2 linked regions of the Oreochromis niloticus genome follow. The protein of the gene in region 1 purifies or fractionates together with the protein of each later gene. This does not show direct contact. Links are inferred from orthologs where the notes say so. Each region holds a gene or a part of one and is shown on either strand. Other genes may lie near its edges.

The links.
Region 2: the proteins of pds5b (region 1) and structural maintenance of chromosomes protein 1A purify together in Homo sapiens (affinity purification with western blotting; 8 studies listed by BioGRID and IntAct, with this or other methods). This does not show direct contact. The link is inferred for Oreochromis niloticus from reciprocal best matches to the Homo sapiens genes PDS5B and SMC1A.

What each region holds. Positions count from the first base shown.
Region 1 is NC_031975.2:16,184,616-16,200,528, forward strand, and holds the start of pds5b (sister chromatid cohesion protein PDS5 homolog B), read right to left. Parts: upstream 6,907-15,913; 5' UTR 6,761-6,906; intron 1-6,760. Other genes in the region: zar1l (protein ZAR1-like), read left to right, coding at 8,211-8,792, 9,626-9,718, 9,793-9,867, 10,087-10,230; fryb (protein furry homolog), read right to left, coding at 14,105-14,363, 15,443-15,678. UniProt on the Homo sapiens protein: Regulator of sister chromatid cohesion in mitosis which may stabilize cohesin complex association with chromatin. May couple sister chromatid cohesion during mitosis to DNA replication.
Region 2 is NC_031984.2:20,057,728-20,073,849, forward strand, and holds the start of structural maintenance of chromosomes protein 1A, read right to left. Parts: upstream 6,407-16,122; 5' UTR 6,137-6,406; coding exon 6,028-6,136; intron 5,011-6,027; coding exon 4,822-5,010; intron 4,456-4,821; coding exon 4,343-4,455; intron 4,081-4,342; coding exon 3,877-4,080; intron 3,341-3,876; coding exon 3,102-3,340; intron 3,010-3,101; coding exon 2,751-3,009; intron 2,615-2,750; coding exon 2,474-2,614; intron 2,388-2,473; coding exon 2,305-2,387; intron 2,188-2,304; coding exon 2,088-2,187; intron 1,763-2,087; coding exon 1,655-1,762; intron 1,534-1,654; coding exon 1,348-1,533; intron 1-1,347. Other genes in the region: ribc1 (RIB43A-like with coiled-coils protein 1), read left to right, coding at 6,996-7,194, 7,357-7,574, 7,699-7,813, 8,100-8,218, 8,811-9,047, 10,919-11,085, 11,246-11,327; l1cama (neural cell adhesion molecule L1.2), read right to left, coding at 14,098-14,353, 14,719-14,730, 14,892-14,964, 15,670-15,801. UniProt on the Homo sapiens protein: Involved in chromosome cohesion during cell cycle and in DNA repair. Central component of cohesin complex. The cohesin complex is required for the cohesion of sister chromatids after DNA replication.

The sequences.
Region 1 (15,913 bases):
TTTGTGGGCATTACAGCAGTTTAGAAACAGACTTGACAGCTCTTTAGGATCACGAACAACCAACTGAATGCATGTACACCGCTGTGAATAAGAGGTGCATTTTGATCACTTGTGACATAACCTCTGCAGCATTAGTGCGACATGGCCCAACAGTTTGCATATCTAAAATGTTGTTTAACAGTGAATGGCATTTAAGATTTTAGCTCACAGGTTGAGCAGGTGACCGCATAGTGCAAGGCTATACAGCATACAGCAGCCTGGGCTTAACACCGACCTGATGGCCCTCGCTGCCCCTTTTCTGCCTCATCTTCACTGCACTGTCTAATAAAGTCAGAAGCCTGTGACACAATTACTTAAAAATGGTACTCCAGATTATTTCAACTCTTAACGTAACCTGCTTTGGGCCAGGTTTTTCTAGCTAGGCAAAAAGCGAGTCATCTGTAATGCTGAGAACTCAAACTTTAAGCTCGACATACCTCGCTGACTCATTAATTTAGCTTTGCAGTGCTCCCCTCTGGGCACTTCATGACACTCAGTTCTTGTTGTTCTACCCTCCACTACAACACTAATAGCTATAGAAAAAAAAGTGTAGATATGAGAGTACATTGGCATGATTTAGCCAACCCTAATTAGTGGTAATAAGGGTAATAAGTCATAACATCTGCCTTGTTCTTTATAATCTTTGCAGGCTGTTTTTTAAAAACATGTTTTGGCTTAAAGGGAACAGCAGGCTGACATTAACTAACAAAATGTCTGCAGCTCTTGTAGCTTTTGCACAATGTTTAGGCCCAGTGAGCTGCTTGGTTTAAATATATCAAAACCCTGATATTAGAAACTAGAATCCAAGACATGGCAGCGTTCCTCGGTTACAGCTCAGAAATGCTGCTATTAACCAAAACAGTAATTTTCTCCAGACTCACGTCTTGGTCTATTTTCATGTCAGTTTTCTAGCCGTTAACATAACTTCACAAAAACAGCTAACAACGCAGACATGTAAAAATATTTAATAGATGAAGCAGATTAATGTGAATGTAGGTACTTAGCCGAAGATCGTGAGTGCACAGACTCATTTTGCAGTCGTTTACTTTTCCCAATTCAATTCAATTTCCAGAGAACCATCAGAACATAAAGTCCCCTCAGGATAGCAAGATGGTAAATTGTTGCATCACATGTAATAGGAAGCAATTTATAATTTGCTATGCTGTCCAAAGAAACATTGACTAAAGGAGCCAGTATTCAAAGAGTCATATTGGGTTTCTCAACAACAAACAAGCAATCTGAAGACGCTTCCTTTCACTCTATGTAACTCTGGTAGGCCATCTTTTATATACAATTATAATTTATATACATCTCGTTATTTCCTCATAATTTTAGTTATTTAAAATAAAATGAATAAAAATCAAACTTGCACATAGTCAGTCATACATCAGTAATGAAATCAGATCAGATGGCTGTTTAAATAATGCAATCAAGTTTCAGAGCGAGTGATAATGATTACCTTTGTGAGTCATATACAAAAACCACACCGCAAAAGCATCAGTGTTAACACACACAGGTTAGATGTTCTAGCTTGATATTTCTCTGCGACTTTAGTAGCGGCTATGATAACCAGCAGAGGTGTTAGCTGTTCGCTGTTGTGTACTGAGTCTCTGTGGAGGAGTCTGTTTGTTAATTTTCTCAGACTTTCCCACATCTCATAATGAAATTTAGCTCCCTACTTGGGGATGTGATTACTTTGTGTCATGCCCAAATATCTGCCCCTTTCCGACTTGCCTGCTGGCATGCACTCACACTGTGCTTAATGATCTGGGTACGCTTCAGTTTGTCTTGGCACCTAAACTCCTCACACAAAGCCACTGTCGCTTTCAGTCCTAGACAATGACATTCATGATTTTCTGCATTTTCAGGTATAATGGGGCACTTTTGAATGTGATGACAGACCGTCCTCTCACATGGTTTATAGATTTGTCAAACTGGCAAGGCAGCTGTCCCTGAGGAAGCTTTGGAGTTCCATACTTTGGAGCAGTTAGGGCATCACACCGCACTACTATGCAGATGTACAACCTCTTCAGGCAGGCCAAAGCATGCTGGTCAAAAATATCTGAGAGCATCACCGAAACGTCACATGCCATGGAGCAAGCAGCCCTCATGCATGTCATGGGGCTTTCAGTTTTTTGCAACCTTGCATCTGTGGCATCACCAGACTGAAGGAATGAGTGTATGATTGTCAGTTTTTAAGAACCATGTTAATGATTCATCAGAGCAAAAGATTTCCAGATTATACCAAGGGAGATGTTGGAAAGAAAAAAAACCCAAAAGACTTTTGTACTCCAGTAGTAACACTGATGTGGAGGTTTTCTCTGAGTGGTGACACCTCTACCATTTAGGAGAATACTGCAGCCAGCCCAGTGTGCCCTCACTGGCGGTATAAATGATGATGTCACTTCTTGTGTGCACAATGACCACTGCAGCGACCATAATGAGCCCTTAAGCAGTCACACAAAAGTAGTCATTAACTTAATAAGTCAAACAACAGGTAAGCAGGTTAGATCTCCAGCATAACTTACCATTGCAATGCACCCCACTAACAATAAGACTCTTAATCACCTAATCACACTAAAAACACAGGGTCAAACCCTGACGGTGCTTGGATAAGTCCAAATCTTGCTTCATAGCAAAGGCCTCTGGTGTAGTCAGGATACGTTAACATAGCAAAAAACCCATGTGCACTTAGTAGTCGTTAAAATGTTACCTGATTTAATGAGTACTCAGACCACACCAATAATTTTGGCCTTCACTTTGCTCACTGTCACTTCCACACTATGATGCTATCCTATTGACAAAATCTGTCCATAGACAGACAGATATGGACACCAGCCAAAGACACATGAGACACACTTCAAACCCACTGTGAGTTCACCTTAGGGTAGCAAATCACTGTGCTTTCAATTCAGGATATGCAGTCACATGCCGATAACTTGACTGGCAATTTGGACGTGTAATGTCAGGTCACGCAAGCCTAGAGACCAGTCTGCAACCACCTGGCAACCACTGATCATGAAGGAAAGAAAAATTGAGTATTCCACAACTGGTGAAAACCACCTTGCTGCTTTGGTTCCTAGCTGATTGCTGCTGTCACTCGTAGTTTGCACAGAACACGCCAGCTTGTCTGCAAACATTCACCAGCTACTCCTCCAGTAGCAGTGATAATGTGAAAACTGCCAAAACTGAGACAGTTTGCCTTCAAAGTAAAAACCGGGCCTTTTAAAAACTTGCTGACTGCCGTGCTGAAACAAGTTTTACTCTGAAGGCAAATGCCGTTCTCGTCACACTTTTTCCAAGTTTACTACTGCTCGGCTAGCACATTTGCAGAGATTTTTGGTGCAGCAAAAATCTCTTCTTTGTAACCAACTTCACCCAATGACCGCCAGCAACATCCAGGAATTACTCACCAAGCGCCAATATGACAGACGGCTCTCAAGCAATGTGCATGACATCATGTGACAAACTGCTATATGACTGCAGAAACCCAGGCTACGGTTGGGTATTCTGGAAAAAGGAATCATATCCCAATCTTAGTTTCTGCAATCCTGTGGTTATGTGTGCATACCCTCTATTCAATTCAATTTATAGCAACAAATTACAACAACAGGTACTTTAAATTGTAAGGTAAAGACCCTACAATAATATCTATTAATACCTCTACAATATCTCTCTGTAAAAAGGCATCACATCTGCTCAAAAATAAAAACTCAACTCACAAACCCCAGTATCCTACTTGGAGCTTTCAAAATATAACATTTCAATATAATTGGAAGTTTGGTGATTTGATCCCTGGCTGCTCCAGCCTGCGTGCCAAAGTATCCTTGGGCAAGCTACTGAACCCCAAGTTGCTCTCTCATGCGTTCATTGGAGTGTAAATGTGTGAAAGTGTTAGACAGAAAGCACTTAAGCTCAGTAAAAAAAAAAAAGTGCTCATATAAATGAGTGTGAATGGGTGAATGAGGAAAGTTGTATAAAGTACTTTAAGTGCTCAAGTAGAAAGAAAAGCGCTATAGAAGAACCAGTCCATTTACCATAACAGATAAGTACCTTTTAGTGGGGAAATCTGTACGATTCCTTAGGAAAGTGCACAAAATGCCAAACTGAGATCATCCTCATCCATCTGCTCACTTCAACTTCCCTGATAGGCATATGTTAGGCTGCCTGATCCACAGTTCAGACCAGGCAGCATGAAATTTGGTCAAATGTTTTTTGTTTTACTTGGCTGTAATATTATCTCCTTTTGAGCGTTAAGAAAAAAAATGATGTAATTGTTTTATTTAATACAACTACATAACAAATACAATTAAAAAACAACAACACTGCACATATGCAGCTATAAGAAGCACTGAAAAATGAACAGATGATTTTCTTCTCTCACGACTGAGCCGCTTGTTCCTTCAATTTCAGCTACTTTTAACCCCGAAAGAAAAACTGATTTATGAAGCGGTCCCGGTCAGTGGGTCTGCCGTCTGACAAAAGCGCTTGATTTAGAGACCAGACTCCAAAACCTAGTTATGAATCACAACCAAACAATTTTCTGTAGCTGAGCTTTTACAAAAACACACACAGACACACACACGGGACATTGGCAAGCTGCCAAATTGTTTGATTCTGACCTTCTTTTCCACCCACAGCTGCTGCCAAATTTGAGTCCATCCCTCTCTCATTCTGCCACACTGATACACAGTTGAGCTCTGGCAGCCAATCACAGCAGATTATTTCTCAACCTAGGGAGGCTGCGTGGGTACCATCCACCATGGAACCAGCACTAAATAATCACAAAGGGGCAAGCTGTCCCATACACAACCTCCTGAACATGAACTACTTTCAGCTTATTACTGGTTTATCACAGTCAAAACACATTTATCCCCCCACCGAGAGCCTTTCCTACCCCCCATTAGTTGCTTATGCTCTTCCCACTTCTGCCTTTTAAAGGCAGCTGCCAGCAGAAATGTGAGAACTTTCCTTTCTTCGAACCTAATTCGAACTCTGACAGAGACATCCTTGATTTTAACCCCCCTCTCATATGGGTGATCACAGGGATGAGTGTGAATGTCAGCAAACAGAGAGGGAACCGGACACCGGCCAGCTTTAAGAGCGAACTTGTCGACCTCCGCGCGGGCGCTCTCACAAAAACAAAGCGATGGAAACTGGCTGAAGAAGGGAAACGCTGTCAGAGTTGAGCTTTTCCTCAGATGAAATGAAATGGACAAGTGAAGGCTGAATCACATCTCTATGGGCATTAGGCAGCACACACATCATTACTCCTCTGTATCCATTCACCACAAGGCAACCATCAAAGAGAAACAAACTGAAAATCTTGGTTTTGAAGAGGAAGAGCTTGACTAAACATAATTCAGCTCAGTTTACAATTCAGTGAATGCTTAAAGGAGCACAGCCTGCATTTGATTTTTTAAATAGGGCCAAATTATCTCTTGAAGAAGTGCAAAGTGGCTCCTGATAAATTAGTTTTGCCTGAAGCATTATTTTATTTGCAATTCGCACCAAGAATGAATACATTAAAATCCAATTTGGGATTTTAAATTGTGTTATTTTTAAGAGGATTTTTTTATTTATTTATTTTGTGTCTGTGTGTGTGTGTGTGTGTGTGTGTGTGTGTACATGGAGAGAAATCCAAATGAAACAAATATCTAACCCAGCGTTACATGGCATATTTAGACTTCTTACAATCTTTAATCCGCTCACCAAAACGCAATGCTGATGATGAAGCGATTTAAAAACAATAGCAATAATAAAATTAAAAACATATACAAAGATTATATTTTTCATATACATATATAGACTGATAGCTGTCACATCAGATGCCCTATAGCTCTCTGCAAGCGACTTGGCTGCAAAATTAATGTCCTATCTGATCACACGCTACTTTTTCACCTCCAAAGCTTCTATTTGTGTTCATGTTTTCATTGTTGCGCAAACTCGTTAAGTAAAAGTCTTTAAAATCTCGAGAAGCCTTAAATACACAATTACCGCTACAGGATCAGGTCTCTGCAATTAAAGGAAAAAAAAAAAAAGGAATGCGCCTTGCACTAAAAGCCCGCAATCGTCACAACGAAAATACTACGACCAGAGTTGGGCTAATAATTTATTCTCGAGGCCGATTTCACGTGGGTGAGTTATTACACAGTCAGGAAACTGTTCGTGAATAGAGGGTATTGTTATTGGTACAGCAGCGTGTTCAGGCCAGGCTGCCTTATTGCTGTTATGATGACTGTGGCTAATCCATCTAGCTGCTGTTAGCTCGCTAGTATCCACGCTAGCGACTAGCGTGCCGAGCTAGCGTTAGCAGCAGAGCAATCTCAGTGACAGAGGGCGGACTGAGAGTAACGCTGCACCGAACAAAACACACCGGCTAACTACCGTTATATTCATATCAATATCCCGAGCCCGCTCACACAACCAAGCCGACCCCCACTGTCTGTTCGTGCTGCGGGGAGCCCAGTCAGCAGACTACTATTTTACTAGCTAACCATTTTTTTGTTCCGCCGCAGGACCAGGTCAACCAGCGCTGTGAATCGGACAAGGCTGCCGAGAACACAGGCGAGCGAGGCGGGCTCTGCTCCGCCTTTTTTAGCGCTGGAAACCCGGGAGCTCCGCGGTTACATCCCGGATCACACCGACTCTGTGGCAACGACGTCCGAAAATATCGCTGCTTTTCAATCAAAACGATTCGCTTCTTTGTGCATTTTCTTACCTGTTACGGTGAATTGTGATAAATCGTGTCCTCCTCTGCAGCTCTCTTCCCCCTCCTAGCTCCAAAATGGCGCCAATATGTATAGATTCAGTGCCCGTGGGTAAAAACCATCGATGGGTGCGTAGCGCCACCTATAGGACAAGTTCGGGTACTTCTGCTGAGCCCTTCACTTGACGCGCGGAGCGTCTTTTTCAGTTTTTGTTTGTAAAAATTTTCCAAAAGATTTCGAGTATTCAAACGCATATAACAGAAAGTTCCTGCAATATATTTAACAGTCCTCGTGAAGCGCTCTGTAAAGATAAAAGCAGGTAATTTGCATTAAAAAAAACACAATGAATTAATTTAGAGCGGATTTTATTTAGCACAGGCCTATAAAATACACGAACCCTGCCAAATAAGACATTAGTCTTCTTATACGGAGTTTACATTTAATCCCACCGTTTAAAAAATACCGTTTTAAATATCCAAACGATAATGTTTTGACATTATTCTTTAAGGCATTGTTGTCTATTTTGCACATCAAACGGAATACCCAAGATTCCGACAGAGCCTGAACTCACCGCCAAACCATGATTCAACTAAAGGGGTTTGTGCGTGAAAATGATCGCATAAATATGACAGTAACGGTGCATTAACGTTAATCCTGTGTAAACTGGAATTAAAAATATAAATAGTTGCTGCTGAATGGCGCTTCTGGCGTTTTAAGTGCGCCCCTACTGTTAGAATATACCATATAAAGTCATTTATTCATACAGACATTTTAAAAATAAAAATCACATTTATGGGACAATGCCCATGGGTATTTATTTCTCAGTTTCCTTTGTCTGCTAACCTACTCATTCACATTTTTAATACTTCTAACACATGTTTGGCTTTTAAATTATATATTTTCTGACTTCAGTGGCTTTACTAAAAAAGCAATATTACTGAAGTTATACAACCTTCTTGCCAAGCTGGTTCACATAACGTCCAACTAAAAATAAATAAATAAATAAAGGTGTAACTGCATGCCTCATTAATCTCCTGCTTGCTTTGTCTTTCTCCGATGGGTCTCTGGCCAACATGAACCAGCCCATAGGGGGAGCTCCAATATAACATTTCGGATTTGGATCGTTCAAATAAAGCAGTGCACTTGCTGCAAAGGTGGATTTTGCACAGTCTTGTTTCAGCAGAGATTTTCTGCAGTTTTTTGATAAAAACAATTTTAATTTAACTTAATTTTTAAAGATCGCCCCCCAAAATGTATCACTACACATTCAAAGGCATAGCCAGCCATTCTTGCTGTAGTCAACAGAGTCTTATTATTAATAAATAATAGAGGGCACAGTATCTCTACCGATATTCGAGCCTGCACACCGCTGTTCTCAATTAACCAATCAATGCCGAGAGAAGGTAAGCGTAGGCTAAAAATCTCACGAGGACGGAGTTGGACTGGTTTCATGGCTCCAGGATGGAGGGGTTCCTGTCCACGTTTCCACCATACAGTGTATATGGTAACGCTGTCTGCGCGCCCCCGGCTCAGGTCGGCAACTGGGGCAAAAGAGATGGTCGCTTCATGAACCCCCAGGGCCTCAACTACCTGGAGCTCTACAAGACCCTCCTGTCCCAGGTCAACCCGAGTTTACCCCCTCCGCTCAAGAAGGCGAACACCAAAGAGTGCGGCGTGCAAGTGAACGCCAAGGTGGATAAAATTGTCCAGTGCTCTCTGGGCCCCAAAACGCTGTCCTGCGACGAACTCCCCACTCCCTGCAAGCCCCCCAGGAGCCCCGATGCGTCCACACCGGAGGGGAAGGCGCAGTTCCACACGCCGCCAATGAGCAACCTGCGCTTCCTGAGGCCCGTGTCCATCTATTCGCCGGTGTTTGACCGCAGGCTCTTCCTAAAGAAACTCGAAGATTGCGCTGGTGAAGGAGAAGGTGAACCCGCCGCCGAGCAGGCCACGTCCGAGGCCGACGGGGATCAAAGTGGCGAGGAAGCCCCAGAAGCCTCCAAGACAGCTTTCCACCGGTCTCCAAAGGGAGCCAACTTTCAGGTGGATGCGTGTGGAAATGGCAATGAGCAGTCTTTAGTTTTCCCATCCACGATGTAACTCAGAAAACCCCTCAGTCATCTGTGGTTTAAGCCCTCAACCTATAGCCTAATTAGTATGACTGTCATTTTAAACCTATTATCCATCCGGAAATATAGATTCTTTTATTTAGCAAATGTCACCGTAGGCTCATTTAAATGTCTTCTGATTTCAACTCGGTACTTTTTCTACACTAAAAAACACCTAACGAAACTTGATTTATTTAAGATTTAAGAAGTGTAAAAGATCATAACTGGTTCAAAAACACAAAGAAATAAAGGGCAGTATAAGAAACTAATTGTCTTAAAATTAGTTTTATTAAACAAAAAGCACTTAAAGCAGGGATGTCAAACTCCTTGTGGGCCACATAAAGCCCACTTTGATCTTAATGGGTTGGACCAATGAAACACTCCCTTCTGTCAGTGTAAAGAAGTTTAAACTTAAAAGCAGTTTAAATGCAGTTTTTCACACTACGTCTCACTTTCTCTACATGACAGATGTATAAAATGAGAGACATTTCTGATAACTCACTGCCCAGACTGTTCTGGATTTATAAAAGATAAACATAAATGTTTTTAAATTGAAAAACTATCTTGTTTATTAACTACTTTGTAGTATGAATGGTAATGGGGGTAGAGCCATTATTATTGGGAAATTCTAAACTTATGATAGTTAAGTTTAAAATCTATGCACTTCCTCACATTCTCCATAAAAGTATCACCAGAATGTTTTCAGTCAGTGGAGCCCACAGGGGAAAAAAGATTTTGTATACATTTTATTTATTTATTTTTTTCCAGTTCCTGGAGCAGAGGTATGGGTTTTTCCACTGCAAAAAGTGCAACATCCGGTGGGAGAGTGCTTATGTATGGTGCATCTCTGGAACCAGTAAGGTTAGTGGCAACCTGCTTGCACAAACAAATATCTGCATTCTTGCTGAGCTAATACAGAGCGACTGCTTTGGCAGGTATACTACAAGCAGCTCTGCCGGAAGTGTCAAGTGGGGTTTAACCCCTACAGAGTGGAATCTATCCTGTGCAAGGTACGTGAACTTGTTTTTGAGGAACTCTCGCAAGATGATTTGATCACTTGGACTTTAAGTGGAATCGCAGGGTCAGTCAGATTCTGTGTGGGGCATTTAAATAAACTGGATCACATTTCTAAGGTACTTTCAGTCTCAGTAAGGCATTCCTTCTGTAGGGATGAGAAAAGCCTGTGCTCTTTCTTACGCTGATGTTGTTCTTATGCCCCCCTCTGTCAGGGTTGCTCTCAGACTTGCTGCATCTGTGAGAAGAAGCAGAGACACATTAACATGAAGAAGCCTCACCGTCAGGACCTGTGCTGTCGCTGCAAGGGAATGAAGCTGTCCTGTGACGCCACCTACAGCTTCAAATACATCGTCTGAGTTGCCCGCCGCGAAGGCCTGAGGTTACACCAATAAGACTGACGTGTAAAGTCGTGCCACAAAGAGAAGCTGCCACCGCCTCCAGTAACAAAGAGTCACTCCAACCAGCAAAAGAGCTGAATCGCTGCCTTGGTTTGAGCCAACTTTAAAAATTCTTTCCCCCTCACTGATCCTGGTATCTAACATAAAAACTATTTTTGTATGAAGAAATAAACACTGCACCTTAAAAGTTGAGATTCCTGAATGTATACATACACTATGAAGTCATAATGAAAATGGAAATGATGGGGTGCTTGCCTATTATACCCAGTAGACGGAGTATAATGTTACTCTACTGCAGTAATACAAACAACAATGTTCTCCCAGACAAACTGATGGCACAATTTCTGAATTACTCCAAGCTTCTATTTTTAACAAGCCAGCACAATCTTGTGGTTCAGAAACTGATGTACAGATTAAGTGAAAAGTGAAACCATGGTGATTTTCTTTCTTTAAAAAATTGGCTGATAAAAACATTTAAAATTCCATTTTGTCAGTTGTAGCACAAATCCTTGGGAAAAAGTTGATGATCAAAAGCAGTAGTTGGGCTTTATGCTGAGAGCATGAGAAATGTGATGTTTGCTTTGAGAGTGTTGATGCTCAGAAGCAGTTGCACTTTGTAGATCTAGAGCAAGCATGTGATGGCTCACCAAGAGAAACCGTGCTGCTGCATGAGAAGTAAGTATCAGAAGTATGTGAGGGACATGCAGGGTAAGTGTGGAGTGACAGAGGGGTTCATCAGGGATCAGAGTCCCTTCTCGTTTGCAGTGGTGATGGAAAAGTTGAGAGGTCGGGCACGAGTATCTGTGGACTGATGTTTGCAGATGACATTGCGATCTGTAGTGGAGAGGTGGAGGTATCCTCTGGAGAGAAAAGGAATGAAAATCAGAAGCAAGACTGACTACATGTGAGTGAATGAGAGGGAGACAGGTTTAAATACTTGGGGTCAGGCAAGATGAGTGTCGGGTTATTAGTGACACAAAGATGGCAAGAGTAAAATGAAATGTTTAGGGACAGTAGTGAGACTTGCTCTGATGCATGGTTTAAAGGCTGGCAGAGCTAAAGATGTTCAGACTTCAAGCTGTTAAGATCAGGAGAGAGGGGGTTAGAAATGAATACATGCGAAGGACTGTTCAGGTTGAGCATTTTGGAGACACGGTTAGAGAAGCAAGGCTGAGAGGGTTTGGACATGTGCAGAGGAGGGATGTTAGAGATGGAGCTGCCAGGAAGGAGGAAGACTGTAGAGAACATTGACAGATGTAGGGATAGGGCAGAGCACCTTGAATACAATTAGTTTTTCAGTCATTTATAAAGCACCAAAAGACAACACAAGTTATAGGTCTTTACTTTGACAACTTTTACAGAGCTTCAACTCAAAACAACTTCACAAAGGCTGTGAAAATATTTACAAGGTGAAAAAACAACTACTGTCTTCATCTAAAAAGCTTTAAAAATGTGCAACTTCTTGTTTGGCATGCAAACACATTCTCCCACACACAGGAAAAAGAAAACAAACATACCCGCGTGAGCTTGTGGCTCCCTTTTGTACCTCATACAAACGTATCTTTCAGATAAAATTATCTTGTTAATAAATATTTCAAACACTCCATACAGTAAACAGAAAATGCATGCATGGCAGTTTGATTTGAGAGAACAAACACTATAAAACCTAAGTCAAATAAGTGTTGTTTCATATCTGATCAGATATAAATAGGAAAAGAAGACATTTGTACAGCAACAGCAAAACGACTGCTAGATCCGAACCAAGGGAGAGTCTCTCACACACACACAAAAAAAAAGGCTGACGACGACGAGTTCAGATTCAGTAGTGCGTAGCGTGGGTTTCATTTCGCACATCTACAATGAGTGCAGAATGTCAGCATTTCCCTTACGTGTAAGGTAACTACAAACCACACAAACATATCCTACTATGGTTGTGTGACAGTAACGATTAGCAGTATACAGACGGGCAAATACTTGACTGTGTACATGCGCCATCTTCTCTGCATGTGAACACCAAGTCGACAGAAATCTAGTGTTTACGCTCACTAAAGATGCTACAGCTAGCCACGGAGGGGTGCACGCCACGCACGGATAATGGCATGATTACTCTACCAATGTTTACAACAGTAGTCAGAGGACAATTTGATTCACTGATACAGAATATAAACAGGCCAAAGAGCAGTGTAAAGAAATGCACTTGAATATTCTGCATCTGCTCTGTCAGCAAGTCTTTCAATCAGTCTGAGGTCAGACGTCTGGGCTAGGCGAAAAGGACGGGAGCTTACAGTAGAAAGCATTCAACTGGGTCATGCATTGCACAGTTTCCTCCAGAGGAGGCCTCAGAACAGTAGAGACAAAATCACTCCAGCATTTGGCTTTTCCTTCTTAATAAAAGTGACAGCCTTTTTCTCTCACAGTAACAAAACATACATGATCTCCTTTCTACAACATTTAGAAAAAGAAAAAAAAGGAAAACAAAACTCCACAGAGGAAACTTCTTCCAGTGATGCTACGTAGTGTCATGGCTCATTTCCTCACTGTCTCTTTCATCTTTCCTGAAAGAGGCAGCAAGTGTCAAGCATGTCTCAAAGTTCCTCCGGGAAGCCAGTTTAAGTCCAAGCTAAAAGCCTTCACAGGTCCTCGGAGTGCAGCACAGATTAGATGCTGAATTATGACCGTCAAGCGGGACTTAAACAAGGAGGTACATTATTTTTCACGACATCTAGCTTTTGAAGCAAAGCCTGCGCTTGTATATAATCACATCAGGTCATTCTTATCAGCAGGCAGCAATCTGTAGTATCCAGAGATAAATCCCATTATACATGGGATATGATTCCCTGTCCTTAAACATTTAAAGTGTCCAGGTATTTCTGGCATGTCATTGTCTACTTTTCAGATGCAAAGATCTGATGTTCGGTTCGTTAGGTCCTCTGGCGTGGTAACTTTAAAGTCTCAGGTTTGGACGTCTGACGGTTCAGTATTCAGGAGCCCCCCTACTGTCAGTAGGGGCAGGGCAGCTTGTCCCACCTTCCCCAGGTAGCGAGTCAAAGGCGTAGCAGCACCGCCGAAGGAGCAACAACAACCCCATGCTGCAGCCTCTCCTGGGCCGGTGGGACAGGGAGGGGTGGTGGGGGAGGGGGAAGAGATGAACTTGGTGCAGGGCCGTGAGTTAAGACCGTGTCACGGCCCGGGTGCAGAATCGAGGACGGGCTCGAGTGTTTGTACGGAGAGCGTGGGAAATGGGGAAGATGAGAGCCCCGGGAAGAAATGGGCGATGGGTTCGTGTAAGAGTGTGTGAGCAAGGTGGGCGCTGAGGCCACAGTTGGGAGAGAGCTGGATGTGAGAGATGATATCAGGTGTTTGCTGCAGTGGAAATGTGATTGCGGTGAATTGCATGATGGATGTACTCTGATAGGATAATAAAGGCTCGTGTTCTCATCTAGATAACGTCTCTTTGGCTCTTGTGTGAGCGGCAGTGTAAAATGCGATTGGCCTGGCGTGTTGGAGCTATCTGCAGAGAACAGGTCGGGGGGTTTGGGAAAATCAAGCAAAAAGGTCTCAGAGTTTGCAGTGGATGAGGATGAAGAGTGGAGTGAAAGGTTTACTTCAGGTTCTAGTGCTGGGCAGGGTAGTAAGTGGGCATCTGCCTGGAGCTGTGAATCTGGGGCAGCAGACACATAGGAGGCGGCAGGGGCCAGGTATGTGGGTGCTGGGCCCCCTCTGTAAGAGCAGGCTGAGAGGGATGCGAAGGTTGTCTTGGAAGGGTCAATGGCTGCAGTGATGGAGGGGGTAAAGGTGGAGAAGGAGGGGGTGGGGGGCTCCTGAAGTCCTGTCAGAGACTGGTCGCGGAGGCACTTGAATCGGGGAGGTAAGTTGTGACGACCCGGTAACCCTGGGCGTGGCGGATCATGTCGCGGATCTCCCCGTTGAGCTCCAGCAGCTTGGAGCAGATCAGACTGAGGTCCTGCCGGGAACCGACCAGGGCGATTGTGCCCGTCTGGCCCAACGTTTGGTGACGGAAGTAGACGTTGAGCAGCGTCTGGACCTCACTCTCTGAGCTGCCGCCAAACACTCCGTTGGGCCACTGCCTCCTGAAAAGGACAAAAAAATTATTCAGTCTCATTAGAACAAGGTACAAAGTATGTATAAGCAATTATTATAGTCAACTCCATAAAATTTGTCCATAAGTACACGAATGCCACTAGACCCACATCTCTACTTTGCTAAATAACACCAAATAGAATAAACTATACAAGTAATTTTTCAGTTTGAACTCTTGCCTAAATATACTGTAATTTATTCAGATGCTATTGTTAAACATCAGTTCTATCAATTTTCCCTCAGGATTGGATAATCTCATTTTAACAGCTAGTAATCTAAACCTAAAACCAATCATCCTACATTTAACTTCATCTTCATCGACTTAAATCTACCCTCTTCTTGATCTCAGTAAGTCAAATGACAGGGTGAGGCAAGGTCTAACAATGGTTTCACCCGAAGCCTCTGCTGAGAACAAACCAGACCCTTTTTTTCACACCTTGGATCATGTGATGAGCCACATGAGCAATAGTGGGTCAACGACCCTCTTGCGGGGCAATCCCCTCTAGGGCTTAAAATCTGGGAGTCTCCATCATTTTGGTCTTAGAACTGAAGAAGCTTCTTGTATGAGAGGTGAAACATCTTCAAAGACACTTAAAGATGTTCAGTCGCTTTTCATTCCAAGCTCCTTAGATCCTCCTCTACTTGTATTACAGGATATCCAAATTTAACTGTCCTACTTTACCTCATGCAAAAATTACAATTTCACTTTCATTAGGATTTACACTTTCCTGTCTACACAACATCTTTCTACTCCATCTAAAGCCATCTGTAGTTCTGATTCTGTTAATACTACAATATCATCTGCGTACAGAAGCACAAAGAGTCTTCGATAGACCTCAACATCACCCATACTTAAGTTTCTCAGCCAGGAATGACAGCCCTTTATAAATGTCTACTTATTATATACTTTAAAATCATTTGTAAGATTGGAGAAAGTGATGGGGATAAGATGATCCAAAAAAGTGACCATTTTTTTTGGGATCATTTGTTCATTTACGTTGAGACAAAATAATAAAATCATTAAATCCCAGGATACACTCATGTATGCTGATGACCTCATGCTGCTCACCTGCATTCCTGGATGTAGCGCACGGCTTTGGTGAACTCATGGTTCCTAAGGCACTCCAGTATAGCCTGCACCGCTGCCTCTGAGGTGGGGAAGCTGGGCACAACCATGGCTGCCACCTGGGTGGCGTGTGAGTGAGTGTGGGCCAAGTGTTTGTGTTCCAAGTCGCTGGCTACGGCTGCCTCTGCTGCCTGCAGGCTGCTCTTCAGATCAGTAAGCTCTCGAGACATGTTCAGCAGCTAAGAGGTGGAGGGACAACAGATGGTGGTGGGTGAGTGTGTATGTGAAGTTTATGTCATCACAGAGGAAATGTCTATATTAAAAGATCGAATGCTCAAGATTAAGTTTGCAGTGTAGCAGGGTTTTCTAAGGGTCAACAACATTTTAATTTAACTAGTAAACCATACATATACTTATAAAAGCATATGTCTATTTAAATAAAATAATGTGGCCCTATATATCGTAGACATTTTT
Region 2 (16,122 bases), on another chromosome or scaffold:
AGTGCCGACATGAGTACTGTCACAGCAGTACTCAGTACGAAGCATATTTTCAAAGGTGTTATATGCTATTAAAAACTTTTTAAAAAATTAGGCAGCCTGAAAGTATGAAATATTCATATATTAAAACACTTAAATTTGTCTGTTGTCTCAGTGGCTGATAGTTTATAATTTTTAAGTTGTTTAATGTGTAGGTGTTCACGATAAACAGATTTTGAATGAAAGCCGGGAACTTCAGTAGCACAAAAAAGTGGCTATTCTTTTTTGTTCTCTTATTAGTCTATCTCATTACCATTATTTCCTTAAGCCTTAAATTGGCTAGTTAAGTATCAGATTAACGTTTAAAGCTTTCACTTGAATGAAGTAACTCACATTACTGCTACTACTAAGTAATGTTAGCTAAGTTTACAGCATATTCCAGAAACCACCATGCCATAACTAACTATTATAATAGCCCTGCCATACTGCATCACACTCAGTGCATTTCAATCATTTCTCCAGCAAGTCTGATAGCTAGCAAAATAATAATAATAATAGTTTTAAAAATTAGCACATACTCAAAAATTATTTACTAGGACTCATCTGTCATGTGACTCAAGAGTGCAAATTCCACCAGTGTCGTTTTCCATCAAACAGTCATTAAAACAGCAACCTCCAGTTAGTGCACTCATCCCCGACTGTTCGGGGGAGGGGCGGGGTCACACATTGAAACAGACTGACATGCAGAGGTGCAAGGCGGCCCAGGCGGAGAAATTTTACCTTTACACATTGCGACTCATTTTATTTCTCTATCTGATAAGTTAACTATTCGGTTACTACAGTTTCAAGCACGTTTAAGCACCACATCTGAAATTCAAGCACTTTTCAAACCTTAAAAAGACAGTATTAAAGTTTTCAAGGATTTCAAGCACCCGTAAGAACCCTGGATATTATTCTCCAGAGCAGAGCAGAGATTTAAAATCAGAACTCCAGCAACACAGTAGCTCATCTATTTCAGGACCCATCACAATTCACAGGTCATTGCCCATAAACCTAAAAACGCGACCCATGAGAATTCTTTGGAAAGTCTCCATAGAACAACAAACAATCATGTTTTACCATTTCACTCAAATTAAATAACATTTTAATCAAATTCAAACCAATAATGTAGGTAAAGTAGTTCATCTACTGAACTACGTCTGAGTCGATGGATGTATGGATGGACAAACAACGCTTTGTGCTTCTACAATTTCCATTCCATAAGTTTTACAAGACTGACAATTTAGCTCACAAGGTACACCCATCAAGGACATAATTTTATAATGAATTGTTCAAAGCTCTCAGGTGGAGTCATTACTTTTATATACTTACTTCAAGGTAATCAAGAGGAAGGAAGGTCTCCGGCTCTCCTCTCTGCTCCTTTATGTACTGAATACAGTCTCTGCCAGTCTTCTCTGAGTCAACAATGATGGCGTCCATGTTCTTACCCAACACTTTAGTCACAGCGATTTGATATTTCTTCTGAGTGGGCTGACACAGGTCGATCAGACGACCATACTGAAAACACATTCAGTAAACTGAGGTTTGTTCAGTGCTCTTATGCTCAATGTTTAAATGCTTTTACCAAAAAGGAAAGAAAAGCAGACCCAGCATGGGTATAGTGCCAAAGGTGCCTTACCACAGAGCCAGGATAGAGTCTTTTTATACTCTCCATGATCTCGGCCTTACGTTGCTGGCGACTGTTCTCCTGCCTGTCGATTCTGGCGTCTCCAAGCTGCTCCATCACCTAAACCACAGTCCAATAATAACGGGATTCATCAGAGGTGCTACTATAGGTGATGTAAGAAATTTATAGAATCCAGTATTACCCAAACATGGATTAATGACCCACAAAGCAATCATTTATTTAATCAGTGCTTTATTTAATCAAGTCTACTGATTGATACAAAGAAATGATGCTTTGTCTTGTACAGTTCAGGAAAATATGAGCTATAGAAAAAGCCTGATGTCTTTAGGAGCAGAGTTAGCACATGCAAAAATAAACTAACCCAATTAGAGTAGATTCAAATTGTTGTTGGCGCTGATTTCTTTCTTTCCTGTGTATTGAGTACCTGATTAAGCTCCATATTGATCTCATCAATCCTCCTTTTGGCCATCTCCACTTCCTCAGTCAGCTCTTCCTCCATACGCTTCTGCTCATCTAGTGATTGCCTGATGGGGAAAAGAGAAAAAAAGGGTGTGAATCACACAGTAAACCAGAGAAACCTATAAAATTAATAAGTTTACCACAGCTCTGTTCAAAACAATCCAAAATTAAGAGCAGCATACCTGCTGGTGGCAATATAATCCTCCAGTTTTTCAATACGTTTCTGGTTTTCCTCAATTTCACGGATCTTCTGTTTAATTTTGGCCTAAAGAGAAACAACAACTTCTATCAAATCAATTTTGTTCTGGCTCATAAAACTTTTCCATCATTTTCCATTTTTCTCTCCTTTACCTCTGTCTCCACTTTCTTTCTCTCCTCTAAGTCCAGGCGGTCCTGGTCAGCCTTCTGGTCGCGGTTGAACTTCTCCAGCTCCTGTGCCAGCGTGGCAGCACGTTTGCTGGCCTCCTCCTTCAGACGATGATACTGCTTCACCTGGAAGAAGCGAGACACAGAGTGTGCATGTTTCAATTTCATGAAACATTATAATTTTACTAAAATCCTGTAACTAATTTGGTATTTTTTCAAAATAAATCATGCAAGTCTAAAATGTAGTTTTCACACATCAGACCTGATTTTCCTCCAAGGTGAGATCCTGGCCTTGGCTCTGCGCCTCCTCCTCCATTCTTTCCTCAAACTCTTGCTTAGCCAGCTCCACTGCCCTCATCTCTTTGTCCAGCTCATCCATGTCTGCCTTCCGCTTCTTGTACATCTTCTGGGCATTTTGCAGTGATTTTCTTGCTGCCTCAAGCTTCTTGATTTTGTGTGAGGTGTTCTCTTTGGCTTTGATGTACTGAGGCCTCTTTTGGTTCAACTCAGAGTCCTTCTCCCTGTAGTCAAGTCAACCGTTTAATGTAAGTCAAATGACTAATAGTGCATTAAGCTTTAAATGTCAAAACTTATTTTATTTAATGCCACTTACTTAATTTCTTTCTCAATGGTCTGTTGCTCCCTCATCAGCCTGCCCAGCTCCTTCTTCTTGTCCTTCAGCTCCTCCTCCACATGGTCCATCTTTTTACGGTCCTTATCGATCTCTTTGTTCCGCTGCCCAAGCTCTTTGTTCAGCCTCTCGATCTCAGTCTCATTGTGGTAAAGTTTGAAGAGCTGCAACTGTACACTAGCTCTGGCTACTTCATCCTTAAGACGCTGGTAACGCTCAGCCTGGTAAAATGAACGAAAATAGAGAAGAGAGCAAATTATGATTAGAGATGTAACAGATTCAATTTTCCATCAGATAACACAAAAAACTAATCACGAAAATTCAAAAGTTTGTTTTAAGGCTATTTTTGAGTCATTTCAAATAAGAAACGCACAGATTTGCTGCCGATTACAGTGTAACAATCTTTACTTCATCTTTGTGTTGTTCACCTAACACCAAATTTTATCTCTTATATAAATATATATGTGGGAAAGATTTATATGCAGGATGTGCAGTTGAAACTGTTACATTGCTGAAAGCTTATGTTGAGCTTTGATAAAAGTTCCTAGTTTGTCTTTTACTGTTGAAGTTTGGTGCATTCATATGAATGACAAGTATTTGCATTATCTGGAATTATATATTACCTAAAATCTGTTAGAGTAGAAACAGGCTATACCACTCAATGAATCCTGTATGGAGGAATTCAGTAAATGCAAATAACCATAGACACTAATGATGACACTCTGGGTCCTATGCAGACTCAGTAAAAATGGCAAACCTCTTCTTTCTCTTGCTTAGCCTCTTTGCGCTCTGCAGCGATGTTTTTCTTGCGATGATAGTTGAACTGCGTGTCCTCCTCTGCTTTCACCATCTCCTTCTTCCTCCGGTCATACTCCTGGGCCAGCTCTCCTGAACGGGAGATCTCTTCAAACAGCGCTGTACGCTCTTTGGGGTTCTTCATGGCAATAGACTCAACAGCTCCCTTAAAGGGAAATAAAGACAAAACTGAATTTTAAAATAGCAAATAAAATGTTACCTGGTGTTAATTTGATCTCTGGTCTAACTGGCCAAGTCACGTTCAAACCAATGATATACACACACACGCACACACACTAAAAACTTTACTACTGCACTATCCAATCAAAATAACCTAGTGGATTAGTACAGGAGTACTATGAAAGACTGCCTGTGCATAAATTGCTTTTGAAAAGATCTTGACAACATTTACAAGAATTAAATCTTACCTGAAAGACCAAGAAGTTCCTAGCCTTTATCAGAATTCCAAGTTTTTCCAGTTCTTCGCTGTATTCAGGCAGGCCCACTACTTTACTGTTGATGCGATACTCAGAGGAAGAACCTGGTGCATATTCCAAAAACAAAACAAGCATTAGCTCATCATCAACACACACAAATAATATACTATACTATTAAACTATATTATTTTATATACTACAGTAAAAAAGTGCATTTTATTTACAATTTATAAATGTAACAGATTTTAAATATTTTTTAAACGCCAAATGCCAAAGATGTGTAAAAATGTTTTCTTAGATGATGAGTCAATTTTTGAAAACTGATATCCATGCAGCTTTACTACTATCCTTTTATTCAGCTGAAAAGCATTCAAATATTACTAGATCAGTGTCTCTTAATTCACACAGACAACTATTCAAAAAGAAAGTTAATTTTATATTCAAGGACAGTTGGTAATGGAGCTTCGTACCAATAATGACTCTTGTGAAGGCACGTTCTTCTCCATTATCTTCCTGGTACACCATACTGACAAAGGCTCTGTTGGCAGCTGGCTTCCCTACAGGCGCTCCATGGATTAGATCCTTCAGAGTCTTCACACGCAGGTTACTTGTCTTCTCTGCCAACACGAAGCTGATGGCATCCATAAGGTTGGACTTTCCTACAAACATTGTGATGAATCTTAGTAAACTTTGGGACCTTTTTATATTAAAAGGCATATGTTAAGACCATGTTGCTGCCATCTACACATTCAGTCTCATACTGATGCACTGCACTGCAATATACATGGACTTGCAGTTATGTGTATAGGTTTTTAATGATTCATTTATACCTTAATATTTGTACACAAAGATCTGCAATGACATTTATACTTTAAGAACCCTTGAAAGCCTCATGCTTTTATACATAAACAGCAACAACTATATATAGGCTTTAATATCCCTTATGTAAATCATACTTTGTTACCTAATATTATTTTGTACATTGTATCTCAGATTCTTATAGTTTTATTTATTTGTTTTATTTAATGTTACATAATTAAATTATATATTTTTTAATTCTTTCTAGTTGCACACTGTGGGATGGGGAAACAACGATTAGATCCTATGCATGTCCTGTAAATATTACAGTAAGGTTCACTTTTTATTTGTAAAGTCTGGTACCAAACAGCAGTTCTGCAATAAAATCCATCTCATTGGCTATTAGTGTGCAGTTTTTACACGTTGTTTTGTTTGAGTTGATATGGCTAAACTTACAGGCCAGATAGTTTTGATGATGCATTGCACTGTATTACGAGAAAAGACCGTTGAAAGTCTTTCTCTTGTGTAATGGGTCCAACACCAATGTTTACAAATATATTACGTGCCTATACGACATAAGTGCTTAAACGGTCTAATGGAGTGACTTCAATAAAAATGCAAAAACGACATTCTACAAACTGACAACCATAAATACACCGAAATAAAGTTTAAATAAATTCTATAGTGCCAAATGTAAACATGAAACACTACGATACATCACATCACCAACAGTTGAACCTCTGTCCAGTTCAGCTGTGCACAGACTGAGAGTTATGATCCAAATAGAGCGGGGCTGTGGAGCTCTGTTTACCGTTAGGCACAGCTAGCAGTTTGCATTTCGCATTAGCTTCGAGCTTATGTTAGCTGTCATTACATACCAGATCCATTGGGTCCGATGATTGCAGTAAACTTGTGAAAAGGTCCGATAATCTGCCTTCCTTTATACGACTTGAAATTTTCGATCTCTATCAGTTTTAAATAACCCATCTCGTTCTATTTGTTTAGCTGGTCTGCAGTGAATATTAGCTTAGCAGTTAGCTAATGCTAACAACCAATGTTTACCCGGTAAGCTGTTGCAAAGACGCAGTGTGCACGAAATGAATGAACCCCTCTGGTCAATCTACTGCTGCTCTATGCACAAGTTACATTATGATCTGCGCAATCGTTTTAAAAATTAAAATAAAAATTATAATCTTTATCAAATATATTCGGTACGGCGGCGACAACAATGCGCCATTTTACAATCCAACAGGAAGACCCACAAGCGCGCGAGACACGAAACCTCACAGTTTCTCGCGAGACCAAATTTAGTTGTCTGGCGTTTGTCGTGTTTTGATTGTTATCTCGGCCTTGGATATCACTTTTTACTACTATTAATGCTACTTTATTACAAATTATACACATTATTAAAAAAATAAAAAGACATTTCCTTAGCTGGTCCTGTCACTCTCGTTATGTATTTCCAGCATATCGATGTGTGTCCACATGTTTCCATGGTTACCAAGCGTCTCCAAACACAACAGGAGCAGATTTTCATTCACTGATATTGACTGAAAGAAACTGAGCAGATTTATAACGTCAGCGGTAAGTGGTGTATGTCCATTTTTAAGGAAAAGCCATTTAATTTAGTCCACTTATTCTTTAAATATGCCTTTAAAGAAGCATTGGTTTTTGATGTTATCAGGTGATGACAGGAGCAAATCGCTCTGAAGATGAACCCCACCAGGATTTTATATTTCAATCGGCATAGTCATTTCTTTAATAATTTATTTTCAGGCAAGATTATCAGCTCTGATAATAAGTGTCGTAATGCTGTCTCTTTAGGAAGTCACTACAAACTTTGAACATGTACAAAGTGGATTTGCCTGTAGACGAGTCCACGGAAAAGGCTGTGGAGAGGCGTAAGGCTGCAGAAACAGCACGCAAGGCCCGCATTTTCAACACCCGGCTTCGTGTGATGGGTCTCGACCTAGATACACTAAACCAACAAGTCCAGGAGAAGAAACACCAGCAAAACATGGAGAAACAAAGGGACAAAGCTTTGGGTAAACTGAAGGACAGGGATGAGGTAGAATTAAAGCAGTATAATTGCAGACATAATTCCTGCAAGACGCTATAAATGCAAGTCCCCTGGTCCCCTTATTGTTTCAGGCCCTCTCCATTAATGAGCTTTGGTTGGTCACAGGTGTATTTTTAATGTATTACAGATAAGTTGAGAATATGCCAAGATGAAGTACTGGTGCAGCAGAACAATGCTGAAAAGGAGAAGCGAAGAGTTTTGAATTCTGAACTCACCAATTACTGGGCTACTCATCAGCGAGCAGAGGACTCTCGTGATGCTGATCTTAAATTTGACCTGAAGGGGGCATTCAAGATCGCCATTCCAGAGGATGAGCTAGGGCCTGCCAGTATGCAAATCTTTAAGGTAGGGCAGCTCTGACAAAGCAGGTGATTTGTATGCTTTAAAGACCGGGGGGGGGGCTCCAGCTAATGGTTAAATATGTAATATTGTTACCGCTTATGGTCATCTGTCCTTGTTTCATGCACAGGGAGAGGGTGTCGGAGAGGAGCTGAGGATGAGAGAACAAATAAGAAAGACAGAACGAGATCTGCGAGCACAGATGGATGAGAATGAAAAAAGGCACATGCGAGACAAGCACATAGGTGAAAAGAGACACACACACACAAGTACACACATTCACTAGCATTCCTAATGAGCTTACATCCTTTACTCTACAACCTCTGTACATCACACACATGCTTCATGCTTTCCTGCACAAACAATCATACACTCCCATGCACAGCCCTTATTACCAGGTGACAGTGATGGATGCTCATCCCTAAGAGCCTTACTGTAAGTGTGAAGTGTGCAGTTGAAGAGCCACATACAACCGCTAATGCAGGTGTGAAAAACACACATCAGATGATCCCCAAATCATGTGTGTCACAGAGATGCTTGTGAGCAAAGAGCTGGTGCAACAAGATGTGAGAGGGGCTCAGCAAGCTGCCCTCGAGGAGGTGTGTAAGAGAGCTACCCGCATCGCGCTCGACAACTACAATCAGGCTCTGGTACAGTATATGTGCACACTCACAGATGGACAAACAGATATGCACACACCACTCACTAATGTGAATCCTCAAGGCAAAAATCTAAGGGGGGGGGGCAAGCTGTGACATGATGTTGTCATGTGGGAATTGCAAGCTGAAAATGTCAAATGATGCATGCACACACTTGGTGCAGGATGGCGGCAATCATATTATTTGGCACCAGGCAACATGGATGGTTAAACAGCTTTGATGTATGCGTGGTTACTGTCTGTTTTTAAAAGCCCCCATTTAGCTCTTCCCTCATTTGCCTGAATGCACTCGGCTGAATCCCCCATTGGGAGGCATCATTGTAAATTCTTCAGGTCACTGTACTTTTTCATAGTGTTTAGTGGTTTCACTAATAACCACTCATGATGCACAAGCAAATACAGCTGACTGAGTGGCTCTCTCAGGACGACGTTCGCCATATGGCTGACTGGTAGCTCTATGCTAGGAGTAACCACATTTTAGAGACTGGGTTTTGCAATGCTTCTGAATCATCAGTCATCAGTGGGATAATCAATTAACTGTCCCTGGATCTGTGTTAAAGCCTCACCATGCTCTGTACACACAGGCTAAAGAGCAAGCAGAGAAACTGAAGGAGCAACACAAGAGAGAGGAACAGGAAAATCTGGCAGAGATGTGGCATACAATGACATCTGACATGATGACAGAGTGTGCAGAGGCAACAGAGAGACAGGTGGGAGGAGGGAGGCCACCACAGGTTCTACCAGACAGGTGGAAAGGAATGAGCCCTGAACAGCTGAAAAGCATTCAGCAGGAGAGAGAACAACAATGCCTTGAGAGACAGGTATTACACTCTGTACTCCACAGTAATATAGTCAAAGCTGCACACAGTATCCCACATATGGTATGTAGAATACCATGTGCACACAATCCCTTGAGTACTTGTGTGTTTTGTTAATGCGACTTCAGAGGTGGCCAGCGGGGGAATTGGGCGGGGCAAGTACTTGTGCTTTGGCACTGTGGGACAGAAAAACTCTTGTTGAACCTTAGACAGAACCAGGCTCAGGGGCAGGCAGCCATCTGCCGCGACCATTTTGGGATGAAGGGAAAGAGTTTTTGACATCTGTGCCAACTTTTCTACATGGGTTGTTTTCAAAAAGGGTTGTAAACTTTTCAGCTTTGAGGAGATTACTCATTCACAAAGAGAATGATCCTAGACTTGAAAAAAAAAAATTAGATGGAAATGTGAAAACTACAAAGTCTGTAATCACAAGTAAAAACAACCAAAAAAGCAACAGTGCAATATTAATAGTAAAAATATACATTTATATGAGATCTATACCTTCAGTCCATAAAATAAAAGAAATATATCAAGATAATTAAAACTAATGACAGATGAGTATAAATGATCATTTAAAACCAGTGAAATAAGTAGAATTAAAAGCACAAAGTTCATAAAACAAAAAGAAATAACTAAACTAAAAATACTTTAAAAAATATATTAAAATACTAATATCAGTCATTATTAAAGCAGAGTTAAGGGAGCCACCTGCTGAAAACACTCTTGACGGGTAGGTCATGAAGGGGATGTTGTGTGTCGTCCAGTATGTTTAGCAGTTTGTGCAACATCCTGCTCTTAATAACTACCTCTAGGGGCTTCAGGCTAGTCCCCAGCACAGACTCAGCCTTTAATCAGCTTGTTCAGCTTTCCAGTGTCACTGGCTCTGATGCTGCTACCCCAAAACAAACCTACAAAGAAGATTGCACTAGCAGTAACAGACAGTAGTGTTTTACTGAATTCATTAAATGACCCAGAAAGCCTCAGTGTTGCATTTCCAGTCTAGTCTATTATTGATGTGAATACCCAGGTTTTTGTAGCTCTTCTCCCACAGTGGAAAAGGTGTTCAACTTAGGTTTGTCCCTCCTTTTTGTTTTGTTTTAAACACTGCAAATGTTGGAGTACTCCTGGTGTGATTCAGAAGGTTGTTTCAGCAGCGAATCAGAAAAGATAAAAGCCACATCACCAGTATTGGTTAAGACTCGGTAAATAATCCATGAGGTCTGCAGGTAGCTTACTAGCTTGTCAGATAGATATTGAGGTCGCAAACATTGCGTCACCGTAAAAAAGCACTAACATCTAAAAATCAATTCTAAAACTAATTGGAAGCCATTGAAGTAACAGGAGCACTACTAGTGTCCATCAAGCCAGCGGTGCTCAAACCAGCATCCAGGCACTGAAAGTAGGTTTGAGCAAGTAATAAAAGGTCTTATTTTAGTGTGCTGGAGATATTAAAAAAATATACCATCATATATCAGTTTTCTCCTTATTCAGGATGATGGTATCTTCTTAGTCTTTCTAGTGTACTAAAATAAGGCCCTAAACTTCCTGTTAGTGCCTGGACCTGGATTAACAGGATCAACATTGATTTCAAGATGCAATAGTGGCGAGAATAAGCATAAACATAAAGTGCTAACACAGAAAAAAAACATTTGAGTGGATCCAGTTACCAAGCCATAAGACCTCCAGCAGATTATTTGGCTCTGAAGCTTTGCATTTTTCAGTGTTATCTACAGGCATGTTAAAGTCACCCAAAATCAGCATGAAATCAAAATCTGAGGAAGTCTGGGAACCTAAATCATTAAATAATGAAGCAGAATTGCCTTTAGGAGAACAAGTATAGTGCGTTTTTAGATTTATTTCCTCTCTGCCTTCAGAAACAGCAAGATGCTGAAAAGATTCGGGATGCAGCTTGGGACCTGAAGCTGCTGAAGCTGTCCAGAGAAGCCGAGAAGGAGGATCTGACAGCAGCCGAGCTGAGTAGAGAGCGGAGAATTCAGATGGACCGCTACAACATGCAGCTGGCCCGAGAACAGCTGGCACAGTAAGCACTGCGCACATATTCATGCACTCTCTGATTAGACACTAGTCAGCAAATGTGTTTTAGGCTTAGGTGATAAAGTATGGAAATATAGATTTCAGATTTTATAAACATTTTGGGGAACAAGCTACTTACTGTGTTTAAATTTCTGTTTCTGCCCCAGGCAAGAGTACCTGAATAAGAGACTGTACACCAACAAACCCACCAAGGACTACTTTTATCAATTCAACACCAGCTCCCGCTGACTGCCAGTGACCTGACATTAGCTTGTCCTCCTGTGGCATTGGGCTAAATAAACTTGGTTAATCAATGAATCAGTGTGAACTGGATCAACATTAATCATAACTTAAGTGACAGACATTTCCTTCAGATTAACACGGTTATTTCTGATTAGTGACAAAAAATGGGAGCCTCTTTTGGTACAGATTGTTCCACGTACTTTATTTTTCAGTCATATATCCAGTTACAGCAGTAGCTTCATAATGCAGTTACAATATTGGCCCCAAAAGTGGTACAAGACCCACAGCTCCAGTCATCCACCCATGACAAATATAGGCATCGTCATGTTGTGCTAATACTGCACCCCACACTCTGCGAAGTGGCATATCATCCCCAGCAGCGGCGCACACCCCCTGGCCTCCCTTGCCCCTTCTGTTTCATCTACTTCCACTTAAATGTCCTAGAGAAGCTTCTCTACACAAACGAATTCATTTTCAGTCGATTTTTCTTCTTTAGCTATATAAAAAAAGAAAAAACAACCACAGTGAGAAAGCAAAGGCCAGCATCCCCAGGTTTCCTCTACAAAACATGAAAAGCAAAGAGTGAGCGGCAGTCGAGTGAGTATCTGTGTGTGTACACTCATTCCTCATTCAGAGCTAACATTTGCCTCCAAACACTGACACACAGTTGTTTAGCAGCAGATAGTTGAGTTAGAATATTGGCATATCTTGCGTCATTCATCGCTCCTGTATGAAAATAGATTTTTTTTAAAAGCTTTATTTGTCCTGAGTGTGTCTGTTTAACCAACAACAGGGAGCTTACACAAACCTCCTTCAGTGCCACTAGCCTCTTTAGACATCTCATATTCTACCTCGGAGACTACAGTTGATGTTTGGCCAGTGGCGAGCTTTTGTTTGAGAAGGGAGAGTGTTGCGTTTAAGTGTTCCCTGTGGCTCACTGCATTTCTGCCCCGCACAACTTCATCAGACAAAAACTCCACAGATATTCACTGCACTGCATTGCTGGATGATTAAGGGCATGAGCGCAATCCTAGCTTAAATTGTAATGTAACTACTTTCACTAAGTGACACTAAATTGATTTTTTTTTTTTCCGTTTTCAAATTTCGATATGTTTGCAAAAACATCTACATAACAATGTGATTTTTTTTTTTCCTTTTTTTTTTTTTCTCCTTTATTCAACTATGGAGTATGTTTTTGCTACACCCAAATCTCACTGTGATCGTTTGTCGATAACAGAAAAGTCTGAATTCATAGCAATAGTACAGAGAAGGAAAAAAACTACAATTTGCAACATTTTAAAATTAAGTGAAGTGGCTTTAAACCTGCACATTTTTCACATTTTCATATCAAACATGGTTCTGTAGGGGTTGTATTTACATTCAGAGGGAAAACAAATGGTCCCGGCTCTTCCTGTGACTTTACTCTCCTTTGACCTTTTTAGCTCAGATTATTTTCAGAAGCAAGTAAATACAGTGTCTGCCTAACCCTGAAAGGAATACATTCTCTGTTTGATATAAACAACTATTTTTTAACTTTTATCATATATCAAATGGCAGCCTTTACAACTGTCAACAATATCAGCTTGCATTGAGGAAGGTTTGAAAATAAAACTTGAGAGAGTGTTTGCGCACTAGACGCCACCCTCTTATCTGAAATATACATAAATACTGCGCCTCAGTTTGTTTAGTATGAGATGAGCAGGTATGAAAGGTTGTTAATTAGAGACAATGTTTTAATACAGCGTAGAAAGAGACAAAGACAGCGATACAGAAAACTACACATAGGTCTCGACACACAAAAAAATTACAACATTGTTTTCAAAAATGACATTACACTTCTGGTGGGAAGGCGAGAGAGTAATGACATCAATCTGGTGCTTTATGCAGACCCAGCAGGCACAGGAACTTATAAGGATCTATAATACTGTAATATGGCTAAATAGATAAGTGTAGATGCAGCTATATACACCAGATGCTACTCAGCATTTTCACAGCAAGTTCCACTTAATGCGTCCAAATAGTAAGAAACTTGGCTTCACTTGATTTTGCTGAAAACATGTTAATCTATGAAATGTGTCGTAGCTTTTTATATAAATAGTGTAGAAAACAATATGAAAAATGATTACGTAACAAAAAATGACACAACAACAACAACAGCAACAAAAAAAAATGATGTTTGGTATTCAAACACGCTTGTAAAACCAAAAAAATGTCACTGGCAAGTACAATCGGAGACATTAAATGGCAATTAGACATACAAAATCATGTGGGAAGTACATCAAACATGATTCATATCTAAGATTCAAGATTTTTTTCTGTACAGCAGCATTAGCTGTCTTGTTCCCTACACTGGGTTCTACCATCATCCTTTACTTTTAATGCACTACTCTGCATCTTTACCTACACCCCCTGATATTTCTAACTGTACAACATTCTGTCTTTATGCTTCTGCGCTGTTGTTTGCTGAGAGAACGAAAGAGGAGGGAGAGAAATGAATGTTAGTCTTTTTCATTAGTTGTAAACTGCACAGGAAAATGAAGGGAGGTCAAAGGACATGTTCATGTCAGTCAGGCTTATATCACTATCGCTGTCCACTACTTTGGACACTCCTTTGGTCAATATAGTCTAGTCAATCAGATGGCTGCCAGGGACATCTGAATATGATTGTTTATTAGTCGTCGAAGTACAGATCAGCAAGTCAGTAGGGAACAGGAGCATATGGGCACATACGTGTTGACATATTTTGGTCTGATGGTCCCCGGTGGATGTGTGGGGGTTAATCGAGGATGGTGACTGAGTTGGGCACGCCATTGGTGGCGGGAGAGAAGGTAGTGGGGTTCAGCGGGGCGTTCTCTGGCAGGAAACCTTCTGGACCGCCACTGGGACGACTGATCTGGCTAGCCAGAGACTCATCCATGTTGAGCTCTGTGGTCATGGCACTGCTGCCATTGAAGTCGAGGTTGTCTTCGCTGTACAGCTTGCTCTTCTCACACAGGGACGGCTGGCTGGCTGTTTGCTTTTCCTCAAGATCACTGCAGCATGAAGAACAGAAGAGGTCAAAAGTAAGAAATGTTAACACGATACATACGAAAAATGCAATGCTGCATGCCAAAGGTTGAATATTATGTACTAATATTTTAAGTAATTTTTTTAAAATAGTGAGTTCCCAGTTATAAATCGTGACTATTTGCTTTTCAGAGTCTCACATTACATTGAGGTGAATGTTATAGGATTTTGGACTGTTGATTGAACATAATGCAATCACCATATGAATCAGTAAACAAATATATTACATTAAAATTAGTCTGAATGTTTATGGGAAGGCAGAAGGTAAATGAGGCATCGGCAGAGGTAAAAATTAAGTGGGTTAAGGATATTAAATCATATCGCAGCATACCTTTCTAGAGATCTGCATAAGAGGGGCAGGCATTAGGGAGGAGAGTGACAATGAAAGGAACAGAGAGGGTTAGGAAAACCAAGCAGTGCTGAGGGAATCAGGGCTGTGTTAGAAATCAATGTGCAGAAACATAACAAAGCATTCAAGAAACAGCGTACATTCAGGTGACACACCTGTACTCTCCGAAAGTTTCATCCTTCATGGGCCGAGCTTCCGAGTCCATCGGGCCCTCCTCTTTATCTTTCACTGAGAATGTGACAGATTTCATTATCAGGCAAATTTTAATCTTGTTTCTATCTTGTTTCTATCTAAAGTCTCAAATCTCAACAGTGAAGTTTTATTAAAAAGCAAGATAACATCAAGGATGATTAGGTGGAGCAAAAAAGCTGGATTATCTGTAGATATTATCAGTTTATCTGTATTATAGTTTTAAGTTCTCACTGATTTTCTAAAAATATAACAGCTAACTAGAATGGCAGTAGGTATCATCAGATTTATTATTTGGTTTGTCTTCACTTCTCTCTCATGTGAAAATTGCTAAAAGTCTGTTTTTTCAGTCAGACATGGACCATTATTTTTACTTTTTTTTGTCTTTTTCAGAAAGAGCCAGAGATTATTCCTTACTATCACAGCAAGGAAGTGTAAGCTTAGAGGTCTGTCTCACGTTTGACATGACAGCTGCATGAGAAAGCAGGTTGAGTGAAATGGGACAGTTATTTACAGTTGGAACCACTGAAAGTTAATCAAACTGTTTGGGATTGATTTAAAAGAACATGCAGTATTCTCCCCAGTCAATATAATATATTTACTGTGGTGCAGTAAGCCAGACTGGCCAGCATTGCCCACACAAAGCTTGTGTGGACTTTTTAAAAAGGGAGAATGTCTGCTTGTCAAGCTTCAGTTTAATAGCTCTCCTAATATTAAACACTTATCAGGGTAGGTCACACTGACCTGAGTACTTTCCCCCTTTACTCCTCTTAATGAAGCAGAGGATGAGCAGGATCAGCAACAACAGTCCAATGGCGCTCACAACGCCAATGAACCAGCCCTGTGTTGCAAAGCTTGGCTGCATCTCTGTTACTCCTTAAGAGAGGAAAAAAGAAGGTGGTAGAAAAAGGAGTTAGAGTTTTTTTGGTAACAGGAAGCAGGAATGAAATACACGGCAAATGGAAAGTATGAAACAGATAGGGAGACCAAGATAAAAGAAGGAGTAGAATCTAGAGCAAAGGAGACAGATCATTATGCATTCTGACAGGCTGGCATTTCACCAGGGAACCAAAGAATACAGCAAAATACAGCAAACAAACACAAGTAATGGATCATTTCATATGGCTAACCAAGCTCTCTTTTCACAAAAGTCTTTGAAAGCACTTCACAGGCAGAGAAAGAACTGCAAGACACTCT